Linked DNA regions of Canis lupus familiaris. The protein of the gene in region 2 interacts with the protein of the main gene of each other region in a biochemical or structural test. Links are inferred from orthologs where the notes say so. Each region holds a gene or a part of one and is shown on either strand. Other genes may lie near its edges. The genes, in order: AGO1, TNRC6B and AGO2.

Region 1 (7,920 bases), on a different chromosome or scaffold from region 2:
TGCAAATGCTGGTGAATGACTGGACCCTCCAGGAACAGTGCCCTGATCCCAGCCCCTAAATGCACCCAAAGAAGAGAACATGCAGAGCCCATTGTCCCAAGAGAGCTCCCCTCCCCAAAGGGTGACTGAACACGAAGTAGACACTATATGAAGGCGATGGACAGGGCAGATGGAGTGTTGGCATCACTCTCTTTAGGCACTTGTGTAAGGAATGTAGGCTCTCCAGTGAGCTGCCTCCTCCCAGAGCCCTCCATTCTGTTCTTCAGCTGGGCTGTGCCCATGGGGCATCCCATGCCGTAGCCAGTAGGGAAGAAGTAGAGGAGGAGTTACTCAACAGTCCTGATGCCTTCTCCATAATCAATGTTTGTGCTACGTTTTGTGAAGTTGCTGAACAAAGTAGCCAACCAGAACAGAACCTGGGATAGACTGTTTTGCATAGCAAATCTGGGTCTGTACAAGGGCTGCTGGAGAGGGGAAATGGTAGCTCTAAGCACACAGGCCAGGATTCAGACTGGCCTCCAAGCCTGAGCTAGGTCTAAAGTGTCATGGCTTCATCACCAGATTGGGGCAAACCCAAGCCCAGGCTCCTCACAAAGAGGAACTTCCACACTGAAGCTGCAACTCCTCATCCCAAGCAGTGGGATAGGAAAAAAATGAACAGTTAAGGAAAGAGGGGGCCTTGCCTCAAGGCCAGCAGGCACCAAGCTAGAAACCCCCTACTTTTCCAGTTCTGCAAGATAGCCAAACCCCATCTTTATCCAGGGAGACAAAAACAAAACAAAACAAAACAAAACAAAGGCCCATGCCACCCACTCACATGCCCTAGTGGGAAACTGGGAAAAATTCATTTGTGTAAACAGAAGCGATAGGGAGCAGCAAAATCCCCCAGCCTGTCCACAGGACACACTGGAATCTGGGATGAGCCAAAGTGTCAGAGAACAGTCTAGAGAAAGGGAAGATGCACTTGCAGGAAGAGTACAGGGCAGTGCAGAGGAGGGCGCCTACAGCAAGAAAACGATATTATCTGCACAGGGGAAGGGTGGAGCCTGAGCCCCACCTTGGGGAGATAACCACTCTCCCTACCTAGCCAGGCCAAAGAATAAGTCAGGTACATAGTTCCTTCTGATGGCTCAATGTTTCTGGGATGTAAACTTATTGGGCATGGGAGGGATTTCCAGATTTTGGCAACAGACTCAAGTTATGGTATAAAAATAACATTTAGTTTTTGCTCTTTTTTTTTTTCTTATTTTAGACCTAAAGATCATTTGTTATAAGACACCCCAGTTAAGAAATATTGAAACATAATCGACTTGACCATCAGGGGAAAAAAGAAGCCAAGAATGAGAAATGCGATGTAAGTAACTCCAGACCCAGGCAGGTGGGAAGGCTGGGGGGGGGGGGGGGGGGACGACGACAGGGAGAAAAGGAGGCGTCAAGTGGAAAGGCCAAGGGCCAGTCATCTCAGCAGCTCCTAGACTTGTCATGTCTGAAAGTGCAAATGTCAATGGACTTTAACCATCTTGAGGTTGTGATCTTTTTAAAAGCTCAATGAATATGGAAGTTAATTCCTTTGAATGCAAAGTAGCTGGCGCTCTGGCTAGAGGCTTGTTGGGTTAGGGGTATTTCTTCCCCACCTACCTCCTCTCCCACCCCCACCCCATCCCCCCAAAGAAAGGTACAAAAGGTTGCAGTTCTGCAGCATTACCGTTACAGGGAAGGCACTGGTTACCCACCAGTAGGCGGAAGGAAGACAGGGTCGTGTCACTTCAGAGCTAAGTGCCATAGTGCCTTAAGTCTTACTAGGGGCTGGATGTCTGTCAGGGAGGAGGTGTAAGGTGGGGTAGACAAAGTAGAGAGAAAGGAATAAGGGAAAAAGGGGTGTCAGCTGGGGGAGGAGCAACCAAAATCATTAGCATTAAAAATCTTCCTACAAACTGGATTTTCAACCCATTAAAACATCTAGTATTCTAAAATATTGATCTGGGTCTGGTTTCGTTTTTCCTCTTAAACAAATCTAGACCTTTTCTGATTAAGGCTCCTAAAAAATCCTTCCCTCCTCCCACCCACTTTCTCAAGCCCCTCACTCTCCCATCTAAAGTATCAAACCCAAACCTACCAGCTTTTGTCCGCGGGGCTGCAGAGCCGACCTTAGCAAGCTGTCAGGCATGAGTCTTTAGCACTGTGAGTCACATGAGACACCTGTGTGTATGGTGGGCACCAGTGCTGCCCCTCTTGGTCCAGTGGGGTCAGGGCCAGATGTGACAAGATGGGTGGAGGGGTGGGGGTCATGAGGTGGACATCAAAGATTTCTGGCTGGTGGTCTGGCTTACTGGCCCTGTTCCCCACCCTTTTGCCCCCTTTGTAGAAGGAAACAAGGCCTTCTGAACTCCTCCCTACCCTCCCTCCTCCTCCTTGCTTCCTCTGGATTTGGGCGGCACAGCTCTTGGGGCTTGGAAAGCTTTCTTCTATCCAGTGAGGTAACAGCGTTCTGCCTTCAAGCGAAGTACATGGTGCGCAGAGTATCCTGGTGAACCTGCACGGCTTTGGCCAGGGCCTGGGGGTCCCGCCCATTGCTCTGCCCCGATATGTGGCTCCCCTCTCCACTGAAAAGCAAAAATGAAAGAAGTCCTTCCTGGTGCACTGAGCTGCTGCTAATCCATTCCCCCATTCAGAGTACCAATTCCCATACCAAGTTAAGAGAAAGCCCCAACCCAGATTTGGGCATATGAGCCCAAAGATACCATATTATATAATATTCATTTCCTTCTGCCCAAGGAAAGTTGAGAGGATCTAGTACCAGAGGCTGATGCTAAAGGAAAGCCACCTTGATCCTAGGCCTCACCTGTCATGTTCCTTGTCCACTAGGTGGTATCGTGCCCGGAAAGCCACCAGGCGGGCATAGTAGGCAGGTGCTGGGATAGAGACGGAGCGTGTGCATCGTACGTAAGTGTGGCACAGCTGGTACGTCAAGATCTGGAGCTCATCCGCTGTGAAACGGTTGTCATCCCAAAGGACATAGTAATGTGATGGTCGGCTGGTGCCCTGGGAAGATAGGAAGGTGAGGGGGCCCCAGGTTGGGCAGAAGGGATGGCCAATGCTAAGGAATAGGATCACTATTAAGAGTGTGGTGGGGGATCCCTGGGTGGCTCAGCAGTTCAGCACCTGCCTTCCGCCCAGGGCGTGATCCTGGAGTCCTGGGATGGAGTTCCACATAGGACTCCCTGCATGGAGCCTGCTTCTCTCTCTGCCTGTATCTCTGCCTCTGTGTGTGTATGTGTGTGTATGTGTGTGTGTGTGCATCTCATGAATAAATAAATAAAATCTTTAAAAAAAAAAAAAAGGAGTGTGATTGGGTTGGAAGACGCACACACAAAGCTACCTATGTCACAAAATACCCTTGTTACGGGCAATCCTGCTTAAGATGCTCAAAATGTACTTCTGTTCATATACGCTAAAAGCTTATTAAGAGAATAATCCTGTTCTGAATGCCCTCAGTGACACCTGATATATTTTAGAGACAATGGGAATAATCAATTCATTTTTGACCCATTGGAAACCCCTGGACATAGCCCGGCTACCTGGATGCCTGCATGGCTGCACAGATAGAAGTCGAACTCAAATGGGTGGGTGATGTTGGTGTCCACAGTTGTCCCAGCTGGGATGTTACCACTCTTCCCAATCTGTATAGAGACAAAGACAACCAAGATCCCAAGATCCCAAGGTCTGCCTGGCCCACCAGAATCTCAAAAGTAAAGCAGAAGTTGCTGTTCCTAGAGGATATTAGATATTAAAATAATGGGCTTCTACTGTCACACAGACCTGATTTTACCATTCATTAGCTGTGTGACTTTAGCAAGTCATTTAACTTTTTTGAGGTTAAACTGGAGGTAATAATACCTACCTCACAGGGCTGCTGTGAGGAAGACACCTCGTACAGTGTCTGACATATAACAGAACTTCAATAAATAGTACTTCTCTTTTCTTCTCTGGGAGCTGGTCTATAGAGGGGTCTACAGGTGAGGGAGCTAGGAGGAAGGAGCCGGACTATAAAGGCAGGAGGGGACAAAAGGAAAAAAGGGAAGGACAAGAGCTGGGGGAAGGGGCCAGAGACAACAGACAAACCAAGGATTAAATCCCCAAATTTATCTCAAGGGCTTTTTCCATATTAAGAGAAGGGACACAGGATAAGGGTATGAGTGGCTTCCTCAATCTCTTACTCACTCGTTCATTCTTGTCAGCACAAAAAAGGCGGGTATGATGGCGTTTCTGCACTACAATGTAAGTGATCCCAGGCTGGTAGTCCTTTTCCAGTTTGATGCAGGCATCACGAATGGCCAGCAGCTCATAGTGCAGGATCTAGGCACGAGTGAGAAGGGAGACAAAGAGACATATAGCTTCTCCTAAGTCACATCTGTGTGAACTACGAGGTTGCCATTTGTATATGGCTTTTTGCTCAGTCTCTTTATAAGCTGACACCCAACCATCACAGATGACAGAGCCTTCCTGTAAAATTTGTCTTATACTCAGTTGCCATGATATGTTGCTAAAAAACCTTGGTTGGGAGGCTGGCATCAGCAGAGAGCACTCACCTGGTTCATATATAAAAAGACACAGAACCAAAGTACACAGACATCACTAATATCACAATGCCCAAAGTAAGGTCAATTTCAGAATCAGGAGGATAATAGGAATTCCCCCTGAGCTCTAAGAGCAGACAGTGCTGAGATCACCAGAGAAGAGCAGACACATAGTTCAGGAATTGATACAGAAGGAGTAGATGAATTCAGTCCTACAAAGAAGCAGGATTATAAGAAAATGGGCTAAAGAAGAACCCACAAGTAAATAACCATAGGCAATAGTTGCCTTGTGGCCTTAGAAGTCAGATATAGGGAGTCAAAACTGTATGGTAGAAAATGGACGGAATGGAAATCAATTAGAACTAGGTTTAAACCCAAGCTTTATTCAGTTATATTCCTATTAGCAAGCTGCTTAACCTCCTAAGTCTCATTTTCTCCACATCTACTAAAGTTAGCCTCACAAAACTGTTGTGAAAAGTGTAACAGATTAATTAAGTAAAAGTATAAAAAACCTAGTAGGGGCTTAATAACTCCTGATTGCTTTGCTAAGCAGTTTGAATTTTATCCCAAGACTATGTGAAGCTACTAGACATTCCTGAACAGAAAAATGATAGTATAAATTTGTCTGCTGTTTTAGGGAAGACTGGATGACTTAGAGAAAACTGAGAAATGGATGAGAGCATAAACTCAAATCACACCAATTTGTCTGAATCCCAGTTCCACCATTGTTTAGCTTGGTTGACACTGAAGATATCATTTAACATTTCCAAGCCTCAAGTTTCATCATCTGTCAAATGGGATAATTATTATTTCATAGAGTTTTTCTAACCATTAAGTAGAACACATATGAAGTGCTTACCACAATTCATAGTACATAAGAGGTGCTCAATAAATAACAGCTGTATTAATATTAAGTGGTAGTCAAGGAAACCAGTTCATTATATACTCTGAACAACAGAATATGAAGACTTGGCAGGGACAAAGAATAGGAGGAACATTCTGAAGGAAGCTCAACAGCAGTAATTCTCAAAGTGTGACCTCCAACCAGCAGCATCACCTATGTAGGAACTTGTCAACTACAAATCCTAGGAGCACCTGGGTGGCTCATTCAGTTAAGTATCTGCTTTTGGTTCCGGTCATGATCCTGGGGCCCTGGGATCAAATCCCACATCAGGCTCCCTTCTCGGTGGGGAGCCTGCTTCTCCTTTTCCCTCTATCACTCCCCCTACTCGTGCTCTGTCTCTATCTCAAATAAATAAGATCTTAAAAAAAAAAAAAAAGGAACTATAAATTCTAGGGACCATCCTAGGCCTTACTGCCATTTAGCAAAGCTCTCAAAGTACCACCTCCCAATGCCAATAGCTTTAAAAAAGGGAGCAGTACTCTCTGCACCCATTAGGCCCTTTGGCCCCAATGTGAAGGTTTTCTTCACCTACTTTGGGCCCTACCTGGGGGAGCTGGCCTTCAGGAACCCCATCTCGGTAGAAGATGATGCGGGTAGGCTTGAAGCGGGTAGACTTGTAGAACTGGATGAGCAGCTCACGCACCATGTAGGATAAGTCTTCAATGATCTCCTGCCGGGGTCGCTGCACCCGCACAGTAGCACAGTAACGGCTGGGGTGGGCATCCATACTGCCTACCACCTAACAATCAAAGAGGCAGGATCAGCCTCCAGAACTTCCACCCTCCCAACACTGTTAGGATGTGGATTTGGGGAAGGCTTCTTAGCAAGAAAACTATGCAATCAAATTAGTAGGGTTTTGGATACAATGAGTCCTGGTTTCAATCTCTATCATGCATGCAGAAGTTATTTAATCCATCTGATCTTCTTTTTCCTCTCAAATAGATAAGAATGCCACCTGCTTACAGTGCTACTCCTTGCAGGGATGCCTGGGTGGCTCATGGGTGAGCATCTGCCTTTGGCTCAGGGCATGATCCCAGAGTTCTGGGATCGAATCCTGCATTGGGCTCCCTGCGGGGAGCCTGCTTCTCCCTCCACCTATGTCTCTGCCTCTCTCTGTGTCTCTCATGAAAAAATAAGTAAAATCTTCTATAAAATTAAATTAAAAAAAATAAAACACCTTGCATAAGACCTAGCCCACAGTAAGTACTTGGTAAGTTCGATTTTCTTACCCCTTGCAGGAGGGTAATGTGAAGGTCTGGCACTACCAACTCAAAGAGCTACAAGTTTGTCCTTTTCTCAATTTAAGTACTAATCTACCCAGTAATCACAATGAAGAGTGTTCCTGCAGGAGGTAGGAGTAATATCATTTTCAAAGGGGACGTGGCCAGAGCCTAGGATGGACGGCCACAAGGAAAACAAGGATAAGCATAGCATAGTATTTACCTGCATTTACTGTGATTAGCCCCGTTTGCCTAGAGAAATGTGAGGGTTGAGAAAAGAGAAGTGGGAAGAAAGGCCTGATCCCTAGCAATTCAGAAGCCCCTAGGGATGGGGAGCAGAGAAGCTAGAGAGGGATTGGAAAGACAACTAATCTATTAGATGGATCAGGGGTAGGGATGGGGAAGAGGAAAGAACAGTCAGTCCCAGCAACTAGGTAACCACGTTAAAAAGGATTTCAGAGAAGAGATATGGTCTTTCCTATATCCCAAAAGTGGGCATGGAGAGAGAGAGAGAAATTTGAACACAGAGCAAGAGTGATGGAGACTGGTCAAAGTCTCTGGCCACCGCCTACACTCTCACTGCTCTCTCTGAAAAACAGATACCATACAGAGTTAGTTTAATGAAGATACCAAGGGAGTGGTTAATGGGGATGATCAGCTGGAAAAAAAGTTTTTATGAAGGGTCAAGCATCAGAGCTGAGGCAAGGATATTATGTGCAGTCTTCGAAGCTCAGAGCTAAAATGAGAACCTTAAGAAGAAGCTGGAGAGTATCACTCACTGCTGTGATAGAAGGTTTTTTCCCATCCCCTGCTGGGGGGTGTGTAACATCTGCTCCCAGGAATATCACTGGCTGTTGAAAGACGGCAGAGCTAAACAAAGAAGAGAAAACAAATGGTGAGGAGTTGGATCTTCTCTTCCTGGCACCATCTAGTACCCATTTTGGTCATCTCTCCCTTGTGTCTGATTCACTCTGCCTGGCCAGAGTCCTATCGTTTTGACAATCCCCAACATGGTACCTTGCTTGACGGGGCAAGTGGGCAACAGAGATCATACCGCTGGTGTGGGACTAGGATGTTGTTAATGCCACCAAGTTTGACATTGATCTTCAGGCAGAGGTTGGATAGAGTCTGAGGCGAGGTCTTGACCACATTCTTCACTTGCACACACTGTGTAGCCATTCCCAAAAGTGTATCTCCAACACGTTTCACTTCAGCTATA
Region 2 (7,920 bases):
ATAAAAGAACCATGACCATATTTACATAAAACGTGTACCCATTAGATTCACAATGGATTTTGTAGCAATCCATTTTTAGGATTAAAAACACCCAAAGAGGAATGATCTTTTCTTAGAGTCCAGTGCTGGCTACTATGGCTGGTCTATTATACTAAAAATTATATACTAAAGGCTTTTGATAAATGTGCAATCCTGTAGGCGTCTGTAATCATCATTAATCAAGAGAGGTAGGACTGTTTTATATTTTCTATACCTCAGTCCGAAACAAATGAGCTGCCCAAAACCATGAATATAATTATTTCTTCTCTGTTTATATAAGCAATACACGTCTATGTCCTCTGTGGAAACATTAAGAAAAAGAATGAAATATAAAAAAAGAAAACAAGAAATTACCCGTAACGCCCAAACTAGAAAAACCAACTGAACACATGGACATTATATGATCCATTTTTAACATGTGCTAAAGCAATAATCAGAAAGCATATGAAAGACCTGTGTACACCTGGAGGACTATGATGTGGAGGACTAAAGGTATGTTTTATATATCTTTTCACTTGTAATGTGAAAGTCAGCATGTGGAAACAAAATAGATATAATAATTAAAAGTCCTTCCATGACATCCTAAGGTGAGAGTCACAGTGACAGGTCAGTGGTCACAGTACTGTGGCTAGGAATATATCATCAGTCACCATTCACAAGGGAATTGTCTCCAAATTCCTGGTTTTCTCCCCGACAACCACCCTGGAGCTGCTGTGGGGCAACAGAGGCCAGCAGTGCTGCATCAGGCCTATGAAGGTGAGGGGGCCTCAGGGGCCAGCCCTGCCAGTTTGGCTCTTGGTGCAGAGCCCCTCCCAGGAAGACTGAGGCCACCCCTATGAAATGGGCAGCTCCAGGCTAGATGGAACCGCCATGTCTGAGCAACATCCAGGCTTCCCAAAGCTCTTCTATCAAATTACCTCTCCCTGGGTAATGACTATATTTTAACTTAAAGACACTAGATTTTAAGATGCTGTAAAGCTCAAGTATTTACTCTTACTAGTTTTGCTGCTATTTTCTAATTAGAAGTTTTACTAAATCAAAAGGACTTCAAAAGTATCACTTGCCATTCAATCTAATGTCAAGAATGGCAAATCCGTTGCTAAGTTAGATGACGTAAGGTACCTATGTAGCCTCCTTAACATTTTCCTAAGCCAGTTTATTAGTTAACTTCTTAAATGTGAAATTAGGACCAAAAATGAGAAGACGAAAGAAACAAATTTAAAATAAAATCCATGTTGAGAAAATATGAAGAGAGATGGGTTCTACGGGCTGAGAGATCTAAAGCCTATACTTAGTATCATTCTGTGCATTCAGTAATCAACAAATTTCCCAAGACAGACAAATGATGCAATGAACTGCAGACCAGGGCCAAGGCAAGGCCACAGTCAAGCAGTTATAAATTTGAGAGGCCTCCTTACTTGTCTAGCAGCGAAGTTTTGGGGGTTGAGCCCTGTGCCGATTGCTCCAAGGCTGACGTTGGGTAGTGTGGAACCAGAGGGAGACAGCTTGTAGCTGGGAGAAGGGGAGAAGGGAGAGCAGGGAGCCTCATCCCCAAGGCACCCATCTTGATTGGAGAAAGGCAAAGTCAGCTGAAAAGTAGTAGGAGTTAGCCAATCACAATGAGTGTTGGTTAGTGAAGCAACAGAATGCAAGAAGGGACAAGAGAGAAACACTAGGAACAAACAGAGTTAGAGTGTATTAGCAATAAACGAGGATGGAATTTGGATCTGATCAGAGTCATCACACTTGGCCCAACAGACACCATCTGTCACCTCTGATATGGATTTTTTCTTATCCTCTAAGTAACACATTCTGTCCATTGCACTAAGATAAAAATTGCCAGACTCTGAATTTTTATGCATCTAATATTGATTACTCTATGTGGCTGCTGAAACAAAAGCCAGAGTAATCTTATGAATCTGTTGCTGCCTGAAACAGCATTATCAATAACGTCAAAAATTTGCCAGATCAAAAACTTTTTTTTTTTTTTTTTTTTTTTTTTTTTAGATTTTATTTATTTATTCATGGGAGACACAGGCAGAGGGAGAAGCAGGCTCCATGCAGAGAGCCTGACGTAGGACTCAATCCTGGGACTCCAAGATCACGCCCTGGGCTGAAGGCGGAGCTAAACCGCTGAGCCACCCAGGCTGCCCAAACTTTTGGTTTTTATTGCTTTCTGAAGACCAGGGCCATGACAAATCAGTATTCTGAATCAAGGAATTATTTCCTCCAATTGGAAAGACAAGAATCAAAAACAAATAGGTATTCATGACTTCTTTAAATCAGGTTGAGAATTTGAACAGTATACCATTATAACTCACAATAGGTCACTAGAGAAATGGAGAAAGAACAAAGGAACTCTCTTAGAAATATCAAAAGAGAACGTTCTGGAACATCTTAACAAAGCTAGAAGGGAAGGCCTTAGGAGATACGAATTATCTGCACGATATCCCAAATTTAATTTCTCACTGTACAGCAGAATAAATTGGTCTCTAAAATTTCTTCCACACATTTCGCATTCCCACTATAAAAAGTCAGACCATTTATTTCCCCCTTCCAAACTTCATAAAATTTCTAAAAACTCAGACCTTCTTCATAATACTCACATACTACAGACAGATGGTTCTAGCTTCTGCCTAGTCACCTGTTGACATCAACTGTTTTCATGTCAACACTTAAATGCAGGTGATGTTTATGTTTTGCTCATTAATTAATTCAGTGACTCTGTGCTTCCTCCTGGAATCAATTATCAAAAGAACAAATGGGAACCAAAGTGGTTCGCATGAATTATCTTAAAGGATTTGACTCACCTTCTCGAAATAAGGCCCACTATCTGTGGTTCCCATGTCTTTGGAATTAGGTGGACGGAACCCAGATCGATCCTTCCTCATGATATCATTAAAATCCCCGAGATTCATTGCTCGCTTGTCCACGTCAAATTTTTTATCTGGAAGGCTCCCTGAAAAGTAACACAGAAGTGAAAATTTCAAGAACAAATATCTCCCTCATGATGGGGGTGGGGGGGGTACCGGTCCCATTCTTCTCCCTGAGGTGCTGGGCATAAGACCATGAGGGATCCTCTTGGTTCAGGCCCCCAGGGGCACGTGTGGATCCTTTTGTTCCTTCTTAAAAAACTTGTGTCAGTTGTAGCTTGTTTTCAATGGAAGATTGAAAGAGAGATTTAGGGCCAACCTGGTAAAAATCTGACTAAAAAAATAGTTCCACTGGTTATTGACATGTTTGATGACTATAACTCACTCATAAAATCAAATGCACTTCGTGAGAGAGTTTGTCTCCTGCTGTTGTTTTAGCATCTGCTAGATAAATGGGTGGGGTTGTGACACAGTTATTGAGAATAAAAAGGCCTAAGAGGCATAGCTGTTGCCCTAGAATTTAAAACTTAGAGTTGGGCACATTAAGTGAACAAGAGATTTCCCAAGTACCATGACTACTACTCCTTTTCTTCACAGCTCTGGAAATTTGCTATTATATACTGACATGATCAGTGCCCCTGGAAACTCATTTTTTCGTCACTCTTAGATTTTAAAATATCATAGATCAGACTATCTCCCTTATGACCTAGGACTATTTTCCTTTTTCCTTGGTTTGATTCTTTTTAAGTTCCTCAAGGTGAGCAATAGCATCATGGTGACGATCCCACAGACTAGGGGCTAACATGGCAACTGCTCCACTTAGGGTGGGAGAACTCATCAATAATGAAACATTCCAGTGCAGACAGGACTACCAACCTGAGAACAGAGTCTGGCAGGGCCACAGACATACTTTGGCCACACACTAGTTTTTAAAATCTGAATTAGTTTCCAATATTTAAGAATCAGGATGTCAATTTATGTCTGAATTTCTGGCCTCGCTCGCCAACTGGAAGCTCTGACAAAGCTGAACCCTTACTCTCCATGGCAACAACTGTTAAGGCCAGAGCAAGGCTGATTCCTTTATCCTGGAGATGGTACATATTCCCCCGACAGCTAACCAGTGGCCTTCAACTCCCAATTTCTTATACCTGGTACATGACACTCATTTTGTTACTTTCCTGGATCCCGCAACTATTTGAGTTTTCAATCCCTAGTGTCCAGGATGGTCCTTTATGTCTGCTGAATGGCACCCATCCCAACTCAAGCTGAGCAGGGATCCAATATAACATCATTTTTTTTTTCAATATAACATCATTAATCACAATATACCCATTCATATTAGTAGAGTGATACACACCTACAGACAAATCCATTTTGCTGCCTGGATTATCTTCAGTTTGACTCTGAAAAAGAAGCAACAGGGAGGGAGGATTAAAGGTTTGAATTTGCAACATCTGTATGAGAGAGATAAAAAAATGGCATTATTTACGTGAGAGTTGTGGCGTACTATTGGTACTCTACATGGTCCTTTGACATAAACCTTATACTGGAATGAAGACAAGATCACTGATGATGTGACTAATTTTATTGCCTACGGTGTCCATATTCCCACATTCAATTTTCACATAGAATTAGCTTCAGTAACTCTATGGACAGAGCAATAGCTAAATAGCTGCTTAGAGAAATAAGTTCCAGTCGGCTCAGGATCAAATTCCACGAGTGTCAGCCAAATGATGACAACCTCTTCTCGTGACTTGTCCAGTCATCAAATCTGGAAATGTGCAGCCAAGTCAAGCTATCTGTCTTTTGGCAACTAGGGATGGGGTGTCCCACAATGTTCCCGAGAGATTTAAAGAGAGAGAGAGAGAGACAGAGAGAGAGAGAGAAATCCTACAAGAATTCCCTATATAATTAATTACAAATAGTTCCCCTACTTATTTTATTGTTGCTGCTATTTTCAAAACTGTAATATGAAAACTGGTACAGTATTAGTCAGGGAACGTTACGTAAGTTTTAAGGCCTGGCTCTTTCTGCCCCTAACCACTTAAGGAAAAGGACACAAGGACTACAAATTCAAAAGCCATAGCCTTTAAATATTGGAGTATTTCATTAAGAATAAAAGAATAGAGGACAAATACTGCTAAATCCAAATCAGAAACACTGTTTAACCAGTTTCTAAATCTGTAATGTTGTACTCTAGTGGCAGCGGTCTTCACATTTGTACTAAAAGTAAAAGCTGGGCTGTATTACACATAAAAGAAAATGAAACTTACCAGCAATCCCATATTTGAAAACTGTTTGGCAAGAGGATTCATCCATGAATCATTGTTTCCTCCTTTCAGTGAGCACTACAGAAATGAAATACATAACCTCAGAACCAAATTATTTTATCTCACTTCTTATCAGTTAGATTTATGTACTGATTGAAAATGCAGAACCAACAGTTTACCTTTCTGAGCCCAAATTTCCCTCTTTAACTGTGGTTATTTTGATATTTTATCCATTAGTCTGAAAGAGTAATAAGCTTTAGTTCTATCTATATTTTCATTCTTATTTGATTCGTCACACTGAGTTAGAACTGGAAAAATACATGGTTAGCTGGTGTTTTGTTTTATTTTGTTTTAAGATTTTATTTATTAATTTGAGAGAGAGAGCGAGAGAGCGCGCACACGCACAAGTAGGGGAGAGAGAGGGGGAGAAGCAGACTCCTTGCTGAGCAGGGAGCACTACACGAGGCTCAATCCCACGATCCCAAGATCATGACCTGAACCAAAGGCAGATGCTTAACCAACTGAGCCAGCCAGGAGCCCCTGAGTTTTTGTTTCTTAAGGGACAAACTAGTTTCTCCCCAGAATAGGACATCCAACACCAGCTCCACTTTTACTTCTATGGAGAAGGTAGGTGGAACAATGATGAGGAGTTGGTGGGGATGGGGTGATGGGGCTTTGCTTACTTGTACATTCTACAAATAAAAACTGTTTTGATATTTGTTATGTTGATTTTACTATTCTTCAAAGTGAATAAGTTCACTTAAGTTCAGTCACAGGTTTTAAGGTCAAAAAAGCCCTCACTGTAGGGAGGGTAGAATTGGTAGTTTTTGTTTAATACAAACAGTTTCAGTTTTGCAGATGAAAAGTTTTGTGGCTAGATGTGGCGATGGTTGCACAATAGCGTGAATATAATCACCACTACTGAACTGCCTGTGCACTTAAAAATGGTTACAATGGTAAATTTTACATTATCTGTCTTTGATCACAATCAGTTAAAAAAAAAAGGCCCTTGGACACAAAAGGTCAGAATTGTCAGTTGTGGAGCAGAAATGCCAAATTTCAACTGAGCTGAATCAGTTATGTCTCAGGGCCACCTGAGTGGGCCAGCACCTTTCCTTCACTCACTTCTGTCAATCAGCAGTATTCCTCAACTGTCTTTTTTTCTGTCTTGTTGGGAATTTGTAAATGACAAAAAAAGCCACAACAAGCCAGATAACAGGCGAGTACAAAGATACTGAGAATTTTACGGATTAATTCCATCTGTGACTAGGGGGAGGCAAAGCAATCCTTAGAAGGGAAATTGTAACTAGCTGCTTAAACAGGATGCCTCCAAGATAAACAACCTATGTGTTTAGGCTATCAAGTTACCGTATGCAGAACAACATTAATATCCTACAGCAAAGGGGATAAAGGCATAACCCCCTTAGCTGACTGAAGACCTTCCAGGACAGTACTTGGTATTTGAAACCAGGACAATATTCACTGTGAAGTGTTTCATGGGGCAGCAAGGCTCCCATGTTGAAATTAAATATATGACTGCCTATTTCTAATTTTCATCAATTTCTCTGCAGAAGGGAAAGAATGCCTCTGCTGGGAGAACGGTTCAGGTTCAAAGACTTGTTCTAGACTGAAACCAAAGTCCTCATCAAATTATGCAAATCAAAGGAGAAACGGCGTTGCTCTAAGACATGGAAAATGACAACTTAATTCCTTTTTTTTTTTTTAATTAAGTAGGCTCCATACCCAGCGTGGATCCCAACATGGGGCTTGAACTCACAACTCTGAGATTAAGAGTCGGATGCTTAACCAACTGAGCCACTCAGGAGCCCTGGAAAGTGACTTTACAACACAACCTGGTACAGGATATAGATAAATCATTTGGTTGCTACAGTAGGGTTATGTACTGGCACTTCACTTTGTTGGAAGAATGATTCTGGGTTTTGGAATCTCCCGAATCGGATAAAAACCAGTCATGCTGATTGCCACTGGAAAAGCTGTCATTCTTTGGTTTCTCTTCTATATATCATGGGGACTACCCTAAGGACTTCCTTGGCTTTAGAATCCAAAAGCATAAAACATTTATAAAGTGTGCCTTGAAAGCTTCCAAAGAATTATTATCATATGGAAACTAAAAGTAAAAAAAAAATCTCCTGTCTTTGAAAATTCCATTTTACTCACAGCAACAGCTCTGTAGTTTGAGGTTTCAAGGTCATGGGGAAGGAAGATGAGGAGTAAAGAGGAAGTAATTATTTGCTCTTAAGAAAATATTTTCACCCTTACTTAGGACTTCAGGGACTCCTTCCATGAGAAAATTCTCAGTTCTGCCTTCTAAGAACAAAGAAACAAGCTCGATCATTTCTAAAGCGGGCTACCTTCATTTGCTTCTTTCCTCCTTGTCCCCAGCTTGCTGAGTTGTGGGAGGAAGCACTTCCCTGAGAGCCGGCGGTGTTCCAGACTCCTCCATCATCCTCCTCCTCCCAGCTGGGATGGCGAGTTCCCGTCACTGGACCGTCACTCTCCCCCCAGCCGTCTTGCATAGATTTGGAATCTTTAAGAAAAAAATGGACAAATCGTATGCAATAGCTACATATTAACAATAATCACAATGATCAGTCCTTATGAATGCAGCATTTTAGGGTATTTGTGATCTTATCTAATCCACCTCTGTGGCGAGGCCAATATTCTAGCCCCTTCCACATTCGTATTACCCAAAGGGTAAGTATATCTATAGCTTTAAC
Region 3 (8,566 bases), on a different chromosome or scaffold from region 2:
TTCACCGGCTAGAGTGGCCACGGCACCTCACCTGGGCTCCTCCACCCAGGACGCCTAACACAGGTGGGAGGAGAGCCGTGAAGCCTGGAGAAACGGCCAGGAGCAAACAGGGCCAGAAGGAGCCGGAGGACGGAGCCCGGCTCCCACCTCCATGTGCAGAGCCGCTCCCACACCTGGGGAAGAGACATCCCCACCTTCGGGGGGTGGGGGTGGCAGAGACAAATGCACAAGCTTCCCAAGGACCACAGTGTTCTCTACACACCCCAAAGCTTCCCTTCTGCTCAGAGCACCACGAAAAAACCCAGGATTCTTCTGTAACAGGAAATTCCAGATGCAAAGGGGTCTGTCTACACACACGGCTTAAGATCAATGTGTCAGAATTAAAACCACAGGCAAGGGGGTCTCCAACCAGCCTCACTCCACAAAACAGAGGGATCCCGAACAACAGGGTTCTTTTTAGGAAACAGGGGAGGAGGATAAACACACTCTGAAGGAAAGGGATTTTACAATCTAAGTGTCCCTGCCAGCCCGCAGCAGGGGACAGCGGGGGAGGGGCCCCAGCGTTAGAGCCCAGGTTAGAGGGCCCCAAAGACACACCACCAAATTCGTGGGTGAACTTTTATTAAAACCCACAATCCATACAGCCCACTATAAACACGCTTCTGAGACAAGAGAAAGTGATTACAAACTTGTGAAAGTGGCCTGGGGTTCAAAGTGTCCCCCTTCTTTAGACACAGTATTTAAGTACTCGGGGTGAAATGACAGATCTGGAATTGGCTCTCGAGTAGCTCCACAAAGGAAAAAGGGGAAAGGGGCCCATCTGAAACCAATGCAGGTCATCTCGATGGTCAGAGGCTCAGTGACGGAAAAATGGGAGAACGTCCTACTTGGTGCTCTACTTTGTGTAAACTATCTCACAACAGAAACTGTTAAAAACAAAATCAAGTGTTACATTTTGAACATCTGTAGTAACAATTCACGAAACAAAAATTTATTTTACCAGACTGGCAGGATATGGTAACACACGTAACACTCATTATAAAGAACACAGTGCGCACCGGCGTTGTGCAAAGTTTTGACACCGAAACTGGAAGTTAACGAGAAATAATATTGTGCTTCTGAAAACCAGACCGGGCAGAGGAGTTGCAACTTTTACGTCGTGTTTCCCTACACACTTACGTGCTTCGAGGTTTCTAACGGATCCAACCAAGCCTTCCGGCCAGCAGCACCTCCCTCCATCCCCCCACTGGGCAGAGGGACACCTGCTGTGTGGCAAAGGTGCATCACCACTGCGACCAGGCTGCTCCGCTGGGAACTGGGGTGGGGGGAGCAGTGGGAAGCAGGAGCTGACTGGCACCGGGAACCTCACTGAAAGCCAGTGATGCTCAAAGTCACAATCCCCTTAGAGGCTTCTCAAACAGGACTTCTGGGTCACAAAAGTTACTTTGTAGCAGTGCCATGAGGGCTGTAACACACAGTAGCTAGAGCACTATGAAACCAAAGAAACAATCCCCTTCCAACAGGATCCCTCAGACAGTTTCAGATCTTGACATTCAACCCCAACAACAAACTAATCTGTTCATCTCTGAAGGCTCCGGGTCGCTGGAGAACCCACTACCTGGAACCACCAAACTCTCTCGAATAGTTAGAATAGTAAGAAGTAGCGACGTACCGAACCTCAGAGCACAAACGCTAATTCACACGTGGAAAGCGTTTATCGTGGGCCTAACACATAGCTACTGCGAACTCTACCTTTTAAGTCAATTTACTCAGTACGTCGCTTAATAAGTGTATTAAAATCGGAAGGAGCAAAACGATTTGTAATTTTTCTACAATCCAGACCGAGCATCTTTTCATTCTTCTAAAATAGGAAATATAACATTAAAAAAAGTTTCATTCAAGAAACTACTCCAAAAGCTCCTTTTAAGCCAAATTAAAAGCCTCGGTGGATAGAATAAAACTGAACTGCACACAGCCTTATAATTACAGCACACTCACAGAGCCTGAAATTTGGGTTCATTCCCATCCTGCCATTAGCTTAAGAACTATCCTACAGACCCATTTATTTTTCAACCAAAGCTGTCCAATTCCAGGGCAGGTTTATCTGCGAACCACGGGGCCCTCTCCCCACCACGCCACAATGCAGAGAATCGCAGCAGAGCCAGATCCTTCCAAAAGCTGTTGGTGACCAGAAAGGAGCCCGGAGATCCAGGGGGGGCTACAGGTTTTTGAAAACAGAAATGCGAGAAAAATACCCCCCGGCGCACAGTTCAGGGTAAGCAGAGCTTCGCCAAGCTCTTGTTTCGATCACACCTGAGCGAGCGCATGCGCACACCGGTCCAGTCGAGATGTAACAGGTATTTCTTAGTGTGGGTCAAGGTCAAAAGGAGCGAAAACCACCTCTTTGAGGAGGGTGTACAGTCAGCTTGGGATCAGACATATCATCCTAATGCTCACCAGCCACATGACCTTGGCAACGTTCTTAACCTACGTGAGCCTCTGCCGTCTACCTTCAAAACGAACATCACCAATTTGCCGAGCCATCCTGTGGGTTAACTGGACACACAACACAAAGCCTGACCTTCCTCAAGGTTCTCTACTTTTTCTGGGCCCTCAACTTTTAAACTGAAAATCTGAAAATAAATAAATAAATAAATAAATAAATAAATAAATAAATAAATAAATCCACACTGTAGTGGCTAAGACTCGCTGGGATCCCTTTACAGGGATTCCTGGGAGATCCCCCCTTGCTTGGCTAGGTAAGGGGGGGTGGGGGGTGCCCAAGACCTGCCTGCCCAGGGTCTCAAGAAGCCAAATCTGCCCTCGGGACGGTGCCCACATAGCCCAGGGCCCTTCCCCACCAGGCCTGAGGAACCTCCCAGATGCAGGATTAAAACCATTCCTCAATCAAGCTGCCCAGAGTCTGGAGAGGCTTAAAAGTTGATGGAACTCGGCCTTGGACAAGCTTTTAGATTAAGTGACATCAGGGGGGAAAAAAAAGACACTCAGAATTCACAAGGCATAGAAGTGTTGGTGGACAGACACAGCAGCCAGGGCCCACGGCAACAAGGGGCCTGAGTGGATGGAGGGGGGGCTTCCAGACCCCCGCTGGGGAGCACGTCTGGGCGGGAGCCGCCAGGGCCCCATCAGCACACCTAGCGAGGGGACCGAGCAAGCCTGCAGCGGCCGGGGCCTGGCAGACAAAGGGGACAGGCGATGCCCCGGCCAAGTGGCAGGCCCAGCCGGGAAATTTAGGAGCCACGTGCCTGGCGGGAGAAGGAAAAAAGCTTTACAACACTTGACTGTTTTCTTGGCCCAGCACCCCGGCTGCCCTTCCACGGTGCGTCGAAAACAAGGGGGGGAAACGTGTTACTCCTTTAAGTTTTTTAGAACTTTTGCAAAGAAAGAGAGCGGCCGGGCGAGGAGGGGTGCTAAGGGAACCGACACTCCTCCTCGCCCGCTTCTAGTAAATTGTAAAAGGCAATTAACACTTGAATAAGCAGCCGGCGTGTCTGGAATGAAAATGAGACGCACGCAGTCTTAGGGTTTTAAGGTGCCGCTTCCCGTCCCTCTCGGGCTACAGTCCTCGCCACCCGCGGGAATTGGCCACAATTCAGCCTTTCCAGACTTTCCTTCAGAGAAGGGGCCGCAGAAGTGCTGGCAACGAGAAAAACGAAACTGAGTGCGCCCCAGGCTCGCCGGGCTCGGGCTGGCTCCGCAGCCGCGCGTCCCCGGCCCCCGCCGCCCGCACCCCGAGCTCGGCGCGACCCGGCGCGACCCCCGCCCCGCCCCCGCCCCGGCGCCCCGCAGTCCCCGCCGTCCCCGCCGTCCCCGCCGACCCCCGGGGCGCGGCGGGCAGGCCGGGGGCGCGGGAGGCCGGGCCGGGCCGGGCGGCGGGCGAGGCGGGCGCGGGCCTCGGGCCTACACGCGGGCCGCGCGGCCCCGGCCCCGGCCCCGGCCTCCGGCTCCACCCGCGGGGCCCCCGGGGCGCGGGGCGCGGGGCGCGGGGGGCGCCAAGGCCCAGGCCGCGCGGGGCGCCCCGACGACCCGGGCCGCGGAGGGAGGCCGGGCTGCGCGCCCGCGCTGGGCCGAGGAACGACCGCCCCCCCGCCCGGGGCCCCGCCGCCGCCCGCCCCGCAGGCCCCGCGCCCCGGCCTCGCCCGCGCCCCCCGCGCCCCCCGAGGCCCGCGCGCCCCGCGCCCCCGCCCCGCGCCCCCGCCCCGCGCCCCCGCCCGCCAACCGCCGCCGCGGGGCCGAGCGCGAGCGGCCGGGCCGGCGCCCCCCGCGAGGACTCACCGGGGCCGGCTCCCGAGTACATGGTGGCGCCGCCGAGGGGCTCCGGGGCCGAGGGGCGGCCGCGCGCGCGCCACGGGCCCCGACGCCGCGAGCCGCGAGGGAGCCGCCGGCCGCACGATCCGCCCCGGCGCGGCCGCCTCGCCAAACAGGTTTACCCGACGCGGCCGGGGCGGCGGGCGGAGGCGGCGGGCGGGGGGGGAGGGAGGGAGGGAGGGAGGGAGGGGCGAGCGAGAGAGGGAGGGGAGGAGGGAGGGGAGGGAGGGGAGGGAGGGGCGAAGGAGAGGGGAGGGGGGGAGGAGGGGAGGAGGGAGGAGGGAGGGGAGGGCGGGGCGAAGGGGAGGGGAGGGGGAGGAGGGCGGGGCGAAGGAGAGGGAGGGAGGGAAGAGGGGAAGGAGGGGGAGGAGGAAGGGGAGAACGGAGAGGGGGAGGAGGGGGCGGGGCGGCGCGCGGGCGGCCGGGAGCCCGGCGGGGGGGCGGGCGCGGGCCCCGCGGGGAGGTGGAGGTGGGGGCGGGGGCGAGGGCGCGGGGCCCCACCGCGGGGGCGGGGCGCGGGGGCGGGGCGGGGCCCCTCCCAGCGGCTCCGGGGGCGCCGTCTTCCCCTCCTGGGCGGAGCGGGGCCCGCGGGGCATCGCCGCCGGAGGCCGGGAAGAAAAGAGCAGAAGCCCCCCCTGGTGTCCGCGCCGCCTCCTCGCATGGGGCGCCCGCTCCGGCTGGGGGGGCGGCGCACGGCGCCCCCCCCCCCCGCGCCCCCCCGCCCCCCAGCGGCCCGGCTGCTGTGGCCGTCCCCGCCCCGGCCCCGGCCCCGGCCCCGGCCCCGGCCTCCCCGCCTGCCTGGTTTTTCAAGTTACTACCGAAAGGCGACCGTGGGGAAGCTCGCGCCCAGCCCGGAGCTTGAACTTGAAGGCGCGGGGCCTGCGCACGACCACACCGCCACCTCCCGGCCGGGAGCCCAGAGCGTCATGGAAAAAAAAACTTGAACAGTGAGTTTGGGGCGCGTGTTAGCTGCGTGAGGTCCAAGCCAAGCCGCCGGGAGGGCGGGCGCGCGCCCTTTGCCTCTGGGACCCCGCCCCGTGCTCCCCGCCGTGCTCACGGAGGCCGTCCCTCGCCCCCACCCGGGCCCCGGCTCCGGCCGCGGTTACCCCCTCCCTCTCCTCGTTGATGGGGGTTACAAGTCTCAAGGTGACACGAAGTCCACACTCGCTGGTCGCCGATGTAACCTACCCGCCTGCGCTTTCCTTCATCCTATAAACGTGTGCTACCTGCGTACTGGGTGCGAGGACCTGAGTGTTCCTCCTGCCAGGGTGATGCAAAGACCAAGAGCCCTGCCTGCAAGGAGCTTAGCATCCTAAGCAGGCTTTGCAAGTCTCAAGAACATCCCTAAATAAATGCCAGAAAACCATGGTTTCCTCCAGAGAGAAACTTAAAGGGACACGGATCTTCACATCATTGATATGAATGGGGTCGGTGCCGTGGCATCAGCCCCCAGGCGCTCATGCATCCCTCCCTGGTCCTCTGCTGACCACCCCCACCCCTCAAGCTGGCCTGGGTCCCCTGAGAAGCCCCTCAAACTACCCTTGCCGGCTCTCCACCCAGCAGTCCCCTTTGTGTGATCCCAAACCTGACTGCGTGCCTGCTTTGTTCAAAGCCCTTCGTGGGCTCTCCAGTTCCATCTGCCCAGGGTCCGAAATCCTTAACTTGGTGCACGACGCCCTGCGGGGTGCAGGCCCCGCCTGCTTGGTCAGGATCTTCCACTTCACCTTCCACAGGCTCTTCAGATCCACGTCTTCATTTTCTCAAGAGTGTTACTGGAGTGTGAATCAGTCCAGCGGTTTGGGAGGAAAGTGTCTGGTAGTGCCTGGAAAAGCTCACACCTGGCCCTACGTGGACGAGCCGTTGAAATGCATGTTTGGGAGCAGAGGAAGGGGGCTGGGTGCGCCACCCAGCATCCACCAGCACTGGAGCGGGTTGTGAGGCGGGTGGATCCTCCTCAAGTAAAACCTAGAGATGAAAATGAAGACCCCCTCCAACACGGATGAGTGTCCAGGGTGTTGAGTGAAAGAGGCCGAGGCCCAGGCTGCAGGATTACATTTGTAGAAGCTACAAAAGAAGCAAAATTGAACTACGTTGTTTAGGGGTACATTATTGGTAAAAAGTTGAGCGAAAGCCAGAAGGTGGTCACCATGAGTCAAAGTGGTAGGTGCTGGGGTGGGGTGGGGTGGGGTGCCCTGGCCACGGGCGGGCTGTGCAGGCTGCTGACCTGCGGGAAATGCTCCTTCCAGTAGACTGCTGCTCATTTGCACATCCCAAGCTGCACATTGGTTTGTTTATATGTTTTCTGTACCCTCTGTGTTTCACGATAAAACATTAAAAAAATAATAACGGTGAGGGGCACCTGGGTGGCTGATTCGGCCAAGCCTCTAACTTCATTTCAGGTCAGGATCCTGTTGTCCTGGTATCGAGGCCCTTCCCTGGGGGCTCCCTGGCTGAGAGTGGGCTCCTCCCTCTGCCTCTGTGTGCTCGCTCTCGCTCTCAAATAAATAAATCTTTTAAAAAATAAAAACCAGGGGGCAGCCCGGGTGGCTCAGCGGTTTAGCGCCGCCTTCAGCCCAGGGCGTGATCCCGGAGACCCGGATCGAGTCCCACGTCGGGCTCCCTGCACGGAGCCTGCTTCTCCCTCTGCCTGTGTCTCTGCCCCTCTGTCTCTCTGTGTCTCTCATGTAAATAAATCTTAAAAAAAAAAAAATAACCATGATGTCCTCTGTCTCCTGCTTGTGACTCAGCAGGCCCCCAGCCGACTGTCCCCCCGCGCCTCCCACCCCCGGGCCTCCCGCCGCAGGCTGCCCTCCTCTCCAGCCCCGGCCGCGGCCCCCTCCCCTCCCCCTCCCTGCACCCCCCACCCCCGGCCCCAGAGCGGCCCCTCCGCGCACACGCCGCGGGGGTAACTTTGTTGCACTTTGTTGCACGGGGTCCAGTGCAAGAGGTCGGGCAACATAATGTCTCCCAGTCGCTTCACTGTGTCGCGACTCGGCGGGGACCGCGCGCGCCCCCTGCCGGCGAGGGGCGCCGTCTCCGGGCTGGGGCTCCCCTGCGCGGGGCCGCCCCCGCCGCCAGCACCCCCTCGGCTCTCCCCCGGGGCCCCGGGCCTGCAGCCCCCAACCCAGAGCGTCCCCTCCCGCTCCTCCCAGCCCCAAGCCCAGGGGTCCGCCGCCTTCCGCTCCCGCGGTCCTGAGCCCCTAAAGCATTGGAGCCCCCGCAGCTCTGGCTATGAAACGTCTCAGGGCACCCACCCCCGGCCCCCAGGTACCCCCCGCTCTGCCCTCCCAGGTCCCCACTCGGCGCCTGGTGTTGGCCACAGGGGGCTCCCGGTGTCCCAGATCCCTGCCTGGGCAATTCAGCGCCGGGTGCTGAGGCGCCCTTCGCTGTGGCAAGACGGCAGGGGCCGGTCACCGCGGGCGGAGCAGAAGCGCCTGTGCTCCTCGGCACCCCGGGGGCTCTTGGTTTCTCCCAAGCCTACGGTGTAGACGCTGGAACAAGTCAGTTCCCAAGACATGTTCTGCATGTGACAAAGCAGAATTAGGGGGTCAAAGAGATGGGAAGCACTGAGTGAACCTTAAACAGCTTTATCAATTGCAAGCCTTCTCAAAACCTTTTTTTAAAAACAGATTTTAGGGGGCTCAGTGGTTGAGTATCTGCCTTCTGCCCAGGTGGTGATCCTGGAGTTCTGGGATCCAGTCTCATGTTGGGCTCCCTGCATGGAGTCTGCCTGTGTCTCTGCCTCTGTGTGTGGATCTCTCATGAATAAGTAAATAAAATCTTAAAAAAAAAAAAACAAAAAAAACATTTGAGACAGAGTGAGAGACAGCATGGGGGGCAGGGAGAAGCAGGCTCCCCACTGAGCAGGGAACCTAACGTGGGGCTCCATCCCAGGATCCCAGGACCCCAGGATCACAACCTCAGCTGAAAGCAGACGCCCCTTCTCAAAACCTTGAACAAAGTGCTAAGAATCATGATTCTACAAAGAGGAAGGAGGGGAACAGTGTGCAGCCCCACACCCACGGGGCCACAGAACTCTTTTGTCCCAGGGTACCTCCGTGTTCCAGGGGCGACTTTGGGAAACACCGGGGTAGCACTGTCTGTGATCCCTTCTAAGGCTCTTTGGATAAAAATATTGGCTGTTTTTCTGAATTAAGAACTCAAGAGTGTACTTATGAGTTGACAAATACTTCCACCATAGTTGGAACAAAATGCACATCTAAGCAATTTCTATGCC

What was found.
Region 1: the proteins of TNRC6B (region 2) and AGO1 form a complex in vitro, tested with the Homo sapiens proteins (2 studies listed by BioGRID and IntAct). The link is inferred for Canis lupus familiaris from reciprocal best matches to the Homo sapiens genes TNRC6B and AGO1.
Region 3: the proteins of TNRC6B (region 2) and AGO2 form a complex in vitro, tested with the Homo sapiens proteins (3 studies listed by BioGRID and IntAct, with this or other methods). The link is inferred for Canis lupus familiaris from reciprocal best matches to the Homo sapiens genes TNRC6B and AGO2.

Annotation. Positions count from the first base shown.
Region 1 is NC_049236.1:6,334,033-6,341,952, forward strand, and holds part of AGO1 (protein argonaute-1), read right to left. Parts: intron 7,916-7,920; coding exon 7,756-7,915; intron 7,572-7,755; coding exon 7,481-7,571; intron 6,221-7,480; coding exon 6,026-6,220; intron 4,357-6,025; coding exon 4,222-4,356; intron 3,681-4,221; coding exon 3,579-3,680; intron 3,043-3,578; coding exon 2,843-3,042; intron 2,604-2,842; coding exon 2,495-2,603; 3' UTR 1-2,494.
Region 2 is NC_049231.1:25,843,402-25,851,321, forward strand, and holds part of TNRC6B (trinucleotide repeat-containing gene 6B protein), read right to left. Parts: intron 7,731-7,920; coding exon 7,555-7,730; intron 5,261-7,554; coding exon 5,186-5,260; intron 4,316-5,185; coding exon 4,270-4,315; intron 2,999-4,269; coding exon 2,850-2,998; intron 1,629-2,849; coding exon 1,458-1,628; intron 1-1,457.
Region 3 is NC_049234.1:35,891,563-35,900,128, forward strand, and holds the start of AGO2 (protein argonaute-2), read right to left. Parts: upstream 4,351-8,566; 5' UTR 4,319-4,350; coding exon 4,297-4,318; intron 1-4,296.